3 linked regions of the Cricetulus griseus genome follow. The protein of the gene in region 3 interacts with the protein of the main gene of each other region in a biochemical or structural test. Links are inferred from orthologs where the notes say so. Each region holds a gene or a part of one and is shown on either strand. Other genes may lie near its edges.

Region 1 (4,268 bases), on a different chromosome or scaffold from region 3:
GTGGGGAGGTAGGGAGAACCTGGGAGAGTTAGGGAAGGGGAAACCACAATCAGAACATATTGTATGAAAACAAATCTACCTTTTAAAAAAGTCCCACAGGATCAGACAAGGTAAATGAGAAAGAAATGAAATCTGCCCTTGACACAGGGAAGAGGTTCAGTGATAAGGGCTGGGACAGAAGTTGTATAATACAGGGATGAGGCAGCTGCCTTCATCTTATTCTCAGAATTCAAAGTAGCCTCAGGAGTTGTCTCTCTCTAGCCCCGGGCATGCTCATCACCCAGTCCAGGCTGTGATGAGGTACGAGTATGGTGAACACTGTACTCACCACTGTGGCTGTCTCCATCACTGCTCATAAAGGAGTAGTAGTCTTGAGTTTGGCGTTGGTATAGTTCAGGTTCGTAAGTAACCAGCTCTTCCGATGGCTGCAGAGACAGGAAGTTATCAGAGCCTAAACAGTTGAGGACAGTCCAGCAAGATTTTCAGCTAAGTTTGAAGCCCTCAACCTTCCCTGCCTGAGGCACCTGGGAACAACCCAGCCTTTGCTTAGAATCCAGAGTGCCCAGGGATACAGGGATAAGGTGATGGTGGGAGGATCAGGAGAGTGTGTTGGGGCAGTGATGGGCCTGAAAGGTCAGAGGTCAGCAGGTCAGGGCTGAGAAGAGGGTGCAGCCCCCCTTCTCTTCTGCACCCTCACACTTACACTCATGCCTATGGGGCATGTTGCTCTTTCCCATCCACAGCCATGCACCCTTCCCCCAAATGTGCAAACACTCCCTGTGACACACTTACACACAAACCCATATGGGAGCTCGCTCTCACATGTGCACACATTCACTCTTGGGTTCCTGTCTATATCTCACATGCAGGCATTGTGCTCACCCTCTCATGAGCCCCACATGTCACACAACTCTTTCCATCCACTCTCAGGACCAGTCACACTCATAGATACACCACTGTGCGCCCTCCCTGCAGGCATACACAGAGACTGACACACACATGCTCACATAGAATTCCAGTCACCAGTTGGTCCACACAGCCTTTCACAGAGCCACCCACATTCCACCCGCACTCTCGCATGCAGCATTGTGTCTCTCTGCTACAGTCTGCCCAGCCCACTCCTCTCTCACTGTTAGCCTCTGTCAGTTCAGCCCTAGGCAGGCGCAGGACTGTTACAATGACTGTCATGCTGATGATTTACTTATACAAAGGTCACCCAGGCCAGTTTGGGGAGTCAAGGGGCAGAGGGCCTTGACTGTCCCTTCTTCCTCAGTGTCTTTGATGGAAGACTCCCTGCCTGTTACTTTCTCCTCCTCTATCTTCCTCCTCCTTGTCCTCGCCTTCCTGCCTTTCTTCCCTCCCTCCTCTATCTTCCCTCTCTTCTCCCTCTGCCTCCTCCACCTCCTTTCCCCACCCTCTGTCACTTTCTTGGGCACAGGGATATGCACACCGAGCTTTCCGGACAGTCATCCGGCTTCTCCCCACCCCCGCAGAGTATGCCCAAGGATTGCACAATAGTTACTGTGGCCGTCAGGGCTTGCTTGGTGGGGCAGTGCTGCCTTGGGAGCCCACCCACTCAAGAGACACTTGGAATGGCCTCTGGGGCTGGAGACAGGGCCTAAGGAGCTGGTATAGGAGCTCAAGGTCCTCCCCTTGCCGATTTCTGCCTGGTGTTCAGGAAGGAGAGGTCAAGGGTCAGGGAGAGTGGCTTTACTTGGGGCAGAGTGGACCCTCTCTGGGACAACTTCCATCACCCATGCTTGCCCCAGCACCTTCTCCATCCCAGGTGGGAGAAGGAGATCAAGATGGGGGGGGGGACAGGAAGGTCTGGCCAGCCCTGTCTACTATACTGTGAGGGAGGCTCCCTTCCCTAGGTTTCCTGGCAACACACTGGGCCTGGCCCTGTTGCAGGACATTGGCTATGATGTCAGGCCTGGGGTGCCTCCTAGGGCTCTAAGGTTGGGTGGGGTAGAAGAGAGATCTGCCTCTAATTCGGGAAAGCTGAGTCAGGTGGGCAGGCACTGCTCAGCCCTTCCTTGCTGTCCCAACACTTCCAAGGGCAGGAGAAAGCCAGAGGGTTGTCTTCAAGGCACTGTGACTGCCATCTGCCTAAAGCTGCCACTGTCACTGAAAATAGGAGAAACAATGGAGATTTGCCCACCTGCTGTGTCCCTGTCTTGTTCCACCCTAACCGCAGTGGAATACTCAATCTAGGTCCTCCATCGCCAATCTCAGTCTCATTCTGGTCCCAGGCCCACCCTTCACTAAGTTTCTTATTCAGCCCAGCCCTGGCCACAAATCTAGCTGCCATATTTCTGCCGTATGCTCTGCTCTTGCCCAGCCTTGGCCACAGCCCCAGATTCTCAGGTCCATGTAGGCCCAAAGCCCAAATACTTGGATCAACAGCCATGCCTCTATGCCAGGCCCCAAACTGAATGTTGGGGACCCATGAGTGACCCAGAGTTCCACCAGCCTTTGTTTCAAGAGTCCACCGGTCATGGGTTGAAACCTTTCCTGTTGCCTCCGGTGGCCCTTAGGCCAGTTCAGATCTCCATATCCATGGCTTCCCAGTAGCCGCCCTCACCGTCTTCAGCCCAGTACCCTGTCCTAGCATTTGGCCTACCACTGAGCCCCACCTATAAATAGCTGTTCAGGCCCCACCGATCACAGCCCCACCATGGGGCCAGCCGGCAACCCTCAGCCCGCCAGGGCATGCTCTAAGGGAGCCAATGGCCCCTCGCTGGGTCTCAGACCAGCAGCTCCGGGGAGGAAACACCGACTTCCCACTGATAGGGAGCCGGAGAGGAGCGGGTAAATTGGTGGGTTAGTGGGCAGATGGTCACACGTCCCAGGGCCCCAGGCTGAGCAGGTAATGAAGCCCCAGTACTCACAGGGGGGACGAGGGGAAACCCTTCCATTTTGCACGCCTGTAACATCCAGCTGAGCTCCAAGTTGGTCAGATCCCCTGCCTCGGTGGGGATCAGTGCGGATCCCCTCAGGACCAGGTGCCCCGTCGGGGGGCTGGACGGTTGTGGGTCAGACGCAGGGCTCAGGCCTGCCCCCTGAGCTACAGGAGCCCCGGGTGAGCCCCCTCCCTTGACATTGCAGGGCCAGCACAAGTTCCTGATTTTATCGAAGGGCCTGCCACTGGGAGATAGTCCCCTTGGGGTGACATCACCGCCCCAGCCCGTTTGCATAAATCTCTTGCGCTACAGGAAGTCTCTGGCCGGCTGGGGCAGGTGGTGCTCAAAGGGCTGCCCTGGGAGGCTATGGGGCCAGGCCCCCTGCCCAGAGGAAACTGGGGCTGGGAGGGAGAAAGGCTAGCACAACCACGGAAGGCCTCGGTTGGCCCAGTCGCTAGGCCTTCTAAGGTTGTCCACTATTCTTTCAGTCCAATAATACCAATTGCTTCTCAGCCGAGTCATCTCTTTGGGGTCAGAATAGTGACAGCATGGGGTCACTAATTTCTAGAGTGAATCTGGAAGGTGGAGGACTTTAATCCCAAGGCTGTCAGACTTGACTCTTCGTGTAGGCCTTGCAATCTCTGCTAGGTCTACCTAAACCACTCAGGGCCCACAGTAGACCTTGGGTCTACTAGCACCTTGTATCTCTTTTCTTGGTGCCTCAAGTGGGCTTCTCCTTCGCCTGGGAATGGCCTTGGCTTTTCATATCCTCCCCTCCCAGCTAAGTACCACAGCTGCGTCCAGATCCCTAGAGACAGTGTTCCCAGCCCAGATTTCTCAATTTCCCCAACCCTGGAATGTCGATATCCATTTAGTCTTCCTAGTTTATAATTCCTCCTTGTATGTTCATCCTTTTATCTGTTTTCCTATCCTTATCTCTTTCTGATTGTCTGTTCATCTTTCGACCCATCATACCAGCCATGCATCTACTCATCTATCTGTTCATCCAGCATCCATCTGCACATACATTCTTCCACACACATATCCATCTCTTCACTTAACCTACGTATCCATCCATTCGTCTGCCTATCTATTTATCTCCCTGTCTATCTATCCATCTACTACCACTCCACTTCCATCCATCCATCCACCTCCCTATCCATCAGTCTGTCTACCCATCCACCTAGTCACTTATGGTATCTGTCTGTCCCATTCATCCACCCATCCACTTACTATCACTGATCTGTCTACCCACCAGTCTACCTATCTATCCATCCATGCATGCATCTTCCAAATGTCAAGTGAACTCCAAACTCTATGCTGAATCCCAGGAACATAAAAAGGTTTCCTGCCTTTCAAAGATCC
Region 2 (3,647 bases), on a different chromosome or scaffold from region 3:
CATTAGATTTTTCCCCTGAGAAATGGTGTGTGTGTCCAACCACCAATGTTTCTTTTTTTACTTCCTTTTTTTTTGAGACAGGGTTTCTCTGTGTCATCCTAGCTGTCCTGGAACTCACTTCTGAAGAAATGGCTGGCTTTGAACTCAGAGATCTGCCTGCCTCTGCCTCCCTAGGGCTGGGATTAAAGGTGTGGCCACCACCGCCCGGCCCAATGTTTTCTTGAGACTGAATTGTGGTTCTGTTTCCCAGGCCCACTCTACATCAATTCCTAGGAAGACAGAAAAGCCCTTGACTCAGAGCTGATTAAGCAACTTAATGCTACTTGGGGAAGAAAAAAAGTCTAGGCCGTTTCTAGGATCATGAAGATTAGCAGATTAAAATCATCACATCCAGGCAGGCGGATCTCTGTGAGTTCGAGGCCAGCCTGGTCTCCAGAGAGAGTGCCAGGATAGGTTCCATAGCTACACAGAGAAACTCTGTCTCAAAAAAAAAAAAAAAAAAAAAAAAATCACATCTGCTGGGATGTATCTCAGCGGCAGAGCACACGCTCGGCATATATTCAGTCCTTAGCCCTAAACTCAACCCCCAGCATCACAGCTATCAAGCAAACACACAGCAAGTGCTGGCCATTGGATGCTGCCCCATCTCACCCTCCATGGGGTCTGACTTACTCCTGGAAGGCTGGAAGTACATTGATTGACTCTTCCAGGGGGAGGTTTTGAAATGAGTGGATGGAATGAGACGGTGGAGGGTACCTGAGGAAAGAAAGCAGACCCTGATGCAAGTCCTTCCCCTGATAACCCCGTTGGCAGGCGCCGGCCCCTCCTTGTCTCTCAACCTTCTTACCCCATATCTGAGCTGAGTTGCATGGAGGTATCGGAGGCCATTCCAAGATCGTAAGATGGCACTGTGGTGGGCATATGAGGCTCTGGAGTAGGAAGAGGCTGGTCTCTGACAGAGAGGAAGAAGCACACGTGACTGCCACTCCTTCCTGCAGATACAAGTACCAGTCCCCATCTCCACCCGCTACCCCCGCCATAGCACTTACCGTTCCACAGTCATCTTGATGGCAGTCGATACGTAACCCCTCCCGTCCTTCCCCATCTGTTCAGCTGTGGTGGGAAGGACAGAACTATGGTGTGTCACACTATCAAGGAGGTGGGAAGGAGGAAGGTTGATGGGCAGGTGGAGGCGGGGCTACAGAAATGGGAGGGAAGACAAGAATAACAGCAGCAGGCGGAAAGAGGGGTATGGCTGGAACAGGGAGAAAGTGGGTGACAGGAGGGATCAGAACCGCCCGCTCACGCTTATAGTGGCTCCGGAAGGCCTCATCCTTGGGTTTCTTGGGGTAGAGGTTTTTCAGCTGAGCAAGATCCCGGATTCGGTCTCCCAGTGATCGAATGGACAGGTCTTTAGCAGAAAATGGCTGGATGTTTTCTATCTGTGGGGCGCCTACAAGAGGAACGAGACCCTGAGGTCTCCTCTGTCCAAACGTCTCTTCCCCCAGCCCCACACAAGTCCCATTCTCAACCATCATGGCATATGAGAGAAGGTCTAGCCTGGAAGGTCTTGCGTGAAGGACACCCACTCATCTCCATTGCCATGGGAGTAGAAGGTTAGACCATAGGAGGGCAAGAAGCCAGACCTAAAGAAGAACTTCCTAAAGATCAGGCGGACATCAAGGACCACCAGGGCATTTCCTTCCCCAGAAGCCCAAGAGAACACAGCAGTCAGGGCTGGCTGTGGAGACTCACCATCCTGACCCCGAATGACATGGGCAATGGTGATGCCGCCAATCTCAGAGTCGCTAAAGCGGAGGAGGAAAGTTCCATCTGGCTCGTTGAGGAGAAGGCTTGTGACGTACTGTTTGCTAATGAAGCCGATGATCAGCCTGGGCAGAGTGAAGGAGGAGACACGGATGGGGATGTGGACACTGGGGTAGGCGAGGGAGACACAGGTACAGGTGAGTGGCCACCTGGGGTCAGGGACTCACCGGTCTGACCAATAGCTCCGGAGACAGCGTTTAGTGAGGTCTAGGACACCATCAAACCACTGCCAGAAAGTGAAGCCTCGGCCCAACAGGATCTCCTGAAGGGTGGAGAAGAGCAGAGGTGAGTACGGGAGGGGCTGAGCTGGAGCTAGCACAGAGCTGAGAGCTGAATGTCGATGGTGGAGGACCAAAGTGACCTAAGGCCCATCTGTGGCAACCACTCACCTTGACTGCCTTGGACATTCCTTCAGGCTTTTCTGTATACTAATTTATTTGGATATAACAGTAACTCTGGATATAACATGGTCATCGTTACAATTGACTGGATGTTGAGGAAAGCGACTTCCCGAGGTCCACACGACTGATGAAGGACAGGGTTTCTCTGTGTAACAGCCCTGGCTGTCCTGGAACTCACTCTGTAGACCAGGCTGGCCTCGAACTCAGAAATCCACCTGCCTCTGCCTCTCAAGTGCTAGGATTAAAGGCGTGTGCCACCACCATCACCACCCAGCCAGAGTGGAGATTTAAGTCAAGCAGTTTAGCATGGGAGTCCCTCATAACCACTGTGCTAAATTCTGTCCTCAAGGGGGCCTGGTAAAGGTCCATTACAGCGGAATGATTGTCTACAACTGTCCCACGTCCTGTTCCCTTCAGTAATGTATTCTCTGGTTACATGACCTTCTCCCCACCCTCCATATTTTGTTTGTTGGAAAGAGAAAAGACCTAAAGTGGGAGCCAGGGGAAGGTGCTGCACCAGGAGAGATGACTTTAGCATTGGTTAGGTTTCTGTGCGTAACGACCACCAAGGGCAGAAGCACGTGATTTCCTCTCTCTGTTCTTGTAACCGATTCAGTCCTGAGCCATCTCATTTTGGAGACAGGAAAATACAGTAACTGATATGAAAAGTCAGAAATACAGGGCTCCTGTTGGGCATGGCTGCTCATGCTGGTAAATTTCTGGACCTAGGCTGGAGGCTAAGGCTGGAGGCATTTGAGGTCAAGGCCAGCCTGGGCTATACAGTGAATATGAGGTTGGCCTGAGCTACATAGCAAAAGAAAAAAGAAATCTGGGTTTCCACCATAGTTGGGTCACTTGGTGTGAGACCTTGAACAAACTACAGGCTTGTCATCTGCAAAAGACACACAAATATCACCTACCCACCCGAAAGGGATGTTGGACAGACGGATCAAGATAGTTAACACATAAAGTGTGAAACTGTGCCTGGTATGTAGTAAGCAGTCAGCACATGGCAGCAGTCCTGTACCACACGGTCTTGTGTGATTTCACCCAGATTTTGCAATAGACTACTTTTCTAATGGGTCAAAGTCATTTTTTTGAATCAGAGCTCTGTTTGCACACAATCGGACTGAATCATTCAAATCACTAAAAGAAAGAAAGAGAGAAAGAAAGAAAGAAAGAAAGAAAGAAAGAAAGAAAGAAAGATAGGCCCCCAGACCAAAACTAAGGGATGCCAGAAAATGCCACAGAATGGAAGAGTTTTCTCTCTGGGCCACGTCATGATGGAGGCACTGTGAAGACCCTAAAAGTCTATTCCTGAGTGGGGGTGGGGGGTGGGGGTGGGGATGGGGCTAGAGAGATCTTCAGTGCCCCAAAGGCAAAGACTTGGGGGCAGGAAATTGAAAGAGCAGGCAAATG
Region 3 (3,647 bases):
GTCATTTATTTACTCATCTTGGGGAAGGGTTACTGCTTGGATTTTCAGCCCAATTTTACAAGACAGCACCTCTGTTATGAAGGTTTTTTGGATGGCGTTTTATCTAAAATATGAAGTAACACCACTGAATGGGAATTCATCTTCCAGCCAAATCAATTTTAATTTTGGAGTTGAACTCTAAGATTAATTTCTACTAGTAAAAACTACAGAGTCATCTCAGAAGAAAAGTAAATGTGTCAACATCTCTGGAACTTCCCTAAGTGTCACCATGATGTCATTTAAGTAAAAACAAAACAATAACAACAACAACAACAACAAACCCACACAGATATGTTGGAGGTAAACACTAAAATAACAACTTCTGGGCTATGAAAAACAATACTTTTATTTTCTTATTTTAAGTCAGTTTTCTTGGGGTAGGGGGAGGAATTGATGTGAAAATGCTCTAAGAGCCAATAGTTAATGTTAAATCTCCTGAAATCCCTCTAAACTCTGTGTTCAACTTTGAAAAGAGCCCAACAACTATATTTTCTACAGCTGTAGAAGCTGTAGCTTCTACAAGCATTTATTGATGGGTGAGTTTATTGATTTCAGAAACCGCTTTAAAACACCACCCACAAGCTTAAAGGGCAAGCTGGGTGTGCAAAGGGCTCCCCGGCAGAGACAGATACCCATGTGGTGGCTGGAGCCCAAACAATGCCTGGAAAGAGTAGCTTTCTAAAGAGTGCACTCTGGGTTGATCATTAATTATGCAAACCAGAAAAAGAAACCCACAAAACCCTCGTGTTCTTCAATGGTTCTGAGACAGCCCACATCATGGTGTCTTCCATTTCTGCTGCTATAAACGGTAAGTCAGGCAATGCACCCAAAGAGAGGGGGCATTGGCCATCTGAGGTGACTGGTAGGGCAGGTTTCATTTCATTTAATGTCACCAGAATCACAAGATTGCAGAGATATAAATAGCTATTTATTTCCTACTCTTGGGGCACCCATACAAGTCTTAGGTGTTCCAGAGAGGGTCTGAAGGTTTCTAGAGTCAGTGACAAGCCCTGATGCTCAGAAGTGTCCCTTTTCTGCTCTTAAGTGGCTCACAAAGTCTCCTTGAGCATCAGAATTGGAAGGAACTAGGTGTCAAGACTTTTTCCACCCTTGTGAATAAGGGAAGTGTCTAAAACATTCAAAATGTACTTGGCCATAGGCGTGGTGAGAATTCTAATGTGCAAGCTACTTTTAATATCCATTCAAACTCCATTTGAAAACGTTCAAAAATCATCTAAAGACTCAATGGACATTGGATGCATATTTCAAGTGTGTTGGGGCTTCCTTAAAACAGGGCAGTATCTCTAATTAGTAATGAAACTTTAAAATCAGATCAAATCCATGCAAGCTCAGAAATTCTATTGAAGTTGCAGGGGAGACAGAGCAATATGGTCCTTTGGGGCCATAGGAATTTCTCAGAAACCAGGGTTCAGAACCAGTGTTCCCTGGAAGCAGTTCAGGACCACCTGTTTTTGGCTAACCCTGAAAGGCAAACAGCATTTGGAAATGAAAAGTCTTTGTACTTTGTCTAAGCCTCTCTGTACTGTGAAGTATGTTGGCTGGAGGAGGAGCCTGACTACACATTCCTGGAAAGCTGGGTAGGTAATGATGTACATGTTAATGACTTCATTCAAATAGTGTTTGGCTAGCTAGTACTCCAGCAGAGATTTCTAATAGTGTTCTTTATTTACTGTGATATTCATACTGCCTGGGCAATGTTTGCTCCAGACCACAGGGCCTCCAAAGTAAGAGTCTAAATCCTCACCCAAGAGTCTAAATCTACCCAGAGGATAGATGCCACCTCCCTCGGAGCCTTAAAGGAAGCGCTACACTCACCTGAGAGCGCCAAGGCTTCAGCAGACCTTATGCTTGGCTCTATGGGGATTCCAGGAGCCTGGGACTCAGGTGGGGCACAAGCATAAAAGGTTCCTGTCACCTGGCAACCTGCATTTGCAAATGAAAATCAGATGATGTCTAAACAGAGAGTCCAAGTTCAGGGAGGCTCTTGAGTTGGGAGGAGCCACGCCCAGTCACCTTCCAACTCAAGCTTGAGAGGCTCTAAACACCCACTGCCAGCAGAGCATGTGACTAGGAGGCAAAGGCCAAATTTCAAGTTCAGTGGGAAAAATACAGGGTGATGGAGGAAGGAATGGCAGCCCAGCTCTGGATGGAAACATGGAGCTCCATCCATAACTTGTCAACAGGGAAACTGAGGCTCAGAAGCAGAGGGGTTTGCACCAGCCCACACAGCAAGTTCCCAGCAGAGCCAGGGTTCAAATTTATATAAGGATAGTTTAAAAAATGAATAAATTATCCAATCCTCATTGCCCTTTATAAGTTTTGGGGAAAATTGAATCATGCTCCCTGGCAGCAGAGAAGTTATATCATATTAAACCAAGAATAGCTTAAGCATGGATAAAATGTAGGTTCTGGGGGTGAGGGGGGGTGAAATTGTGACAAGGAAATTATTCCCAGAATAATATAAAAGGACCACACGAGTGGTGAACAGTGTCAAAACAATGAACTTGAAAGTCCTAAAAGCTTGTTTTATATCCAGTCTGGTGGTACAGGCCTGTAATCCCTGGTACTCAGGAGTTCAAGGCAAGAGGGTCAAAGAGCAATGGAGCCTGGGTAATTTAGCAAGACTCTCCCTTAAAATACACAGTTGAAAAGGGGTGTGGGGTGTAGTTCAGTGCACGTGCCTAAATAAATGCCTAATGATCAAAGCTTCACTGAACATTCTTCAGTGAAAATTTCTGTGTTCGGTTAATTGGTGTTTCTTCTGTGGGTGCTCATCTAACCTCTAGGGCATGTGTGCTGTGGGTCTTTTGGAACCTGGCACTGCTTTGCAGAGAAGTTTTGTGGATTACTTTTGCTCTGGTTATTCCTTAGTACCAAGAACAGCTACAAATGACTCAGCACTCCTCAAGGGACATGAATTAGCAATGATCTCCTGAAGTCTCTGCAGAGGTGGCCTGGGCACAGCTGTAGTATGGTCCCTTTACAGGAGAGTTGAAAGGAATAGGATAGGGAGATGGTATGGCTCTCCACCAGTAAGTAATAAGGGACAATTTAGAGGGAAGCCTGACAAAAATCTATCCCTCCATCCTAATATGACAAAGAAAGCATAATGTTATAGAGGGTGAAAACATGTTGACCAAATAATTGAAAGAAAAAGTAGACAAGTTTTATAATTGACATGTTTTGCCATTGGGCACTTATAAATAAATATCCATGCTTTTCTCTATTTATTGAAAATGGAGCAGGCATTTTTCAGTCTCTTGAAATGATTTCTGGGCTCCTTTAATTAATTTTCCACACAGAGTGATGCCTATCATGGCTCTGAAGACTTCAGCATCCTACAGGACAAGGCAAGATTCCTCCCCAGCCCCAAGCTTCGTGTGATGTCTCTCTGCATCTCTGTGGAAGGGGAAAGCCCTGTGGTGCTGCCTGGGAGGGTCACCCAGAGTTGCCCACACCCTGAGCCCAGGGTGTTCTTCTGCCTCCTTCCCTAGCACATTCCTTACCATTTTCACAAGATGGGCCTTGCCAGTGGTGGCTGCGGGGGCCAAATGTCACAGGACACTGATATGGGATTTCTGGATGTG

What was found.
Region 1: the proteins of Irf4 (region 3) and Spi1 are reported together in a solved structure, tested with the Homo sapiens proteins (2 studies listed by BioGRID, with this or other methods). The link is inferred for Cricetulus griseus from reciprocal best matches to the Homo sapiens genes IRF4 and SPI1.
Region 2: the proteins of Irf4 (region 3) and Stat6 form a complex in vitro, tested with the Homo sapiens proteins (2 studies listed by BioGRID). The link is inferred for Cricetulus griseus from reciprocal best matches to the Homo sapiens genes IRF4 and STAT6.

Annotation. Positions count from the first base shown.
Region 1 is NC_048599.1:85,659,773-85,664,040, forward strand, and holds the start of Spi1 (transcription factor PU.1), read right to left. Parts: upstream 2,937-4,268; coding exon 2,888-2,936; intron 2,165-2,887; coding exon of another isoform or gene 2,162-2,164; intron 452-2,161; coding exon 329-451; intron 1-328. UniProt on the Homo sapiens protein: Pioneer transcription factor, which controls hematopoietic cell fate by decompacting stem cell heterochromatin and allowing other transcription factors to enter otherwise inaccessible genomic sites.
Region 2 is NW_023276806.1:130,086,825-130,090,471, forward strand, and holds part of Stat6 (signal transducer and activator of transcription 6), read right to left. Parts: intron 2,090-3,647; coding exon 1,995-2,089; intron 1,893-1,994; coding exon 1,756-1,892; intron 1,454-1,755; coding exon 1,307-1,453; intron 1,114-1,306; coding exon 1,050-1,113; intron 953-1,049; coding exon 848-952; intron 757-847; coding exon 673-756; intron 1-672. UniProt on the Homo sapiens protein: Carries out a dual function: signal transduction and activation of transcription. Involved in IL4/interleukin-4- and IL3/interleukin-3-mediated signaling.
Region 3 is NC_048596.1:251,459,472-251,463,118, reverse strand, and holds part of Irf4 (interferon regulatory factor 4), read right to left. Parts: coding exon 3,567-3,647; intron 1,984-3,566; coding exon 1,876-1,983; intron 1-1,875. UniProt on the Homo sapiens protein: Transcriptional activator. Binds to the interferon-stimulated response element (ISRE) of the MHC class I promoter. Binds the immunoglobulin lambda light chain enhancer, together with PU.1.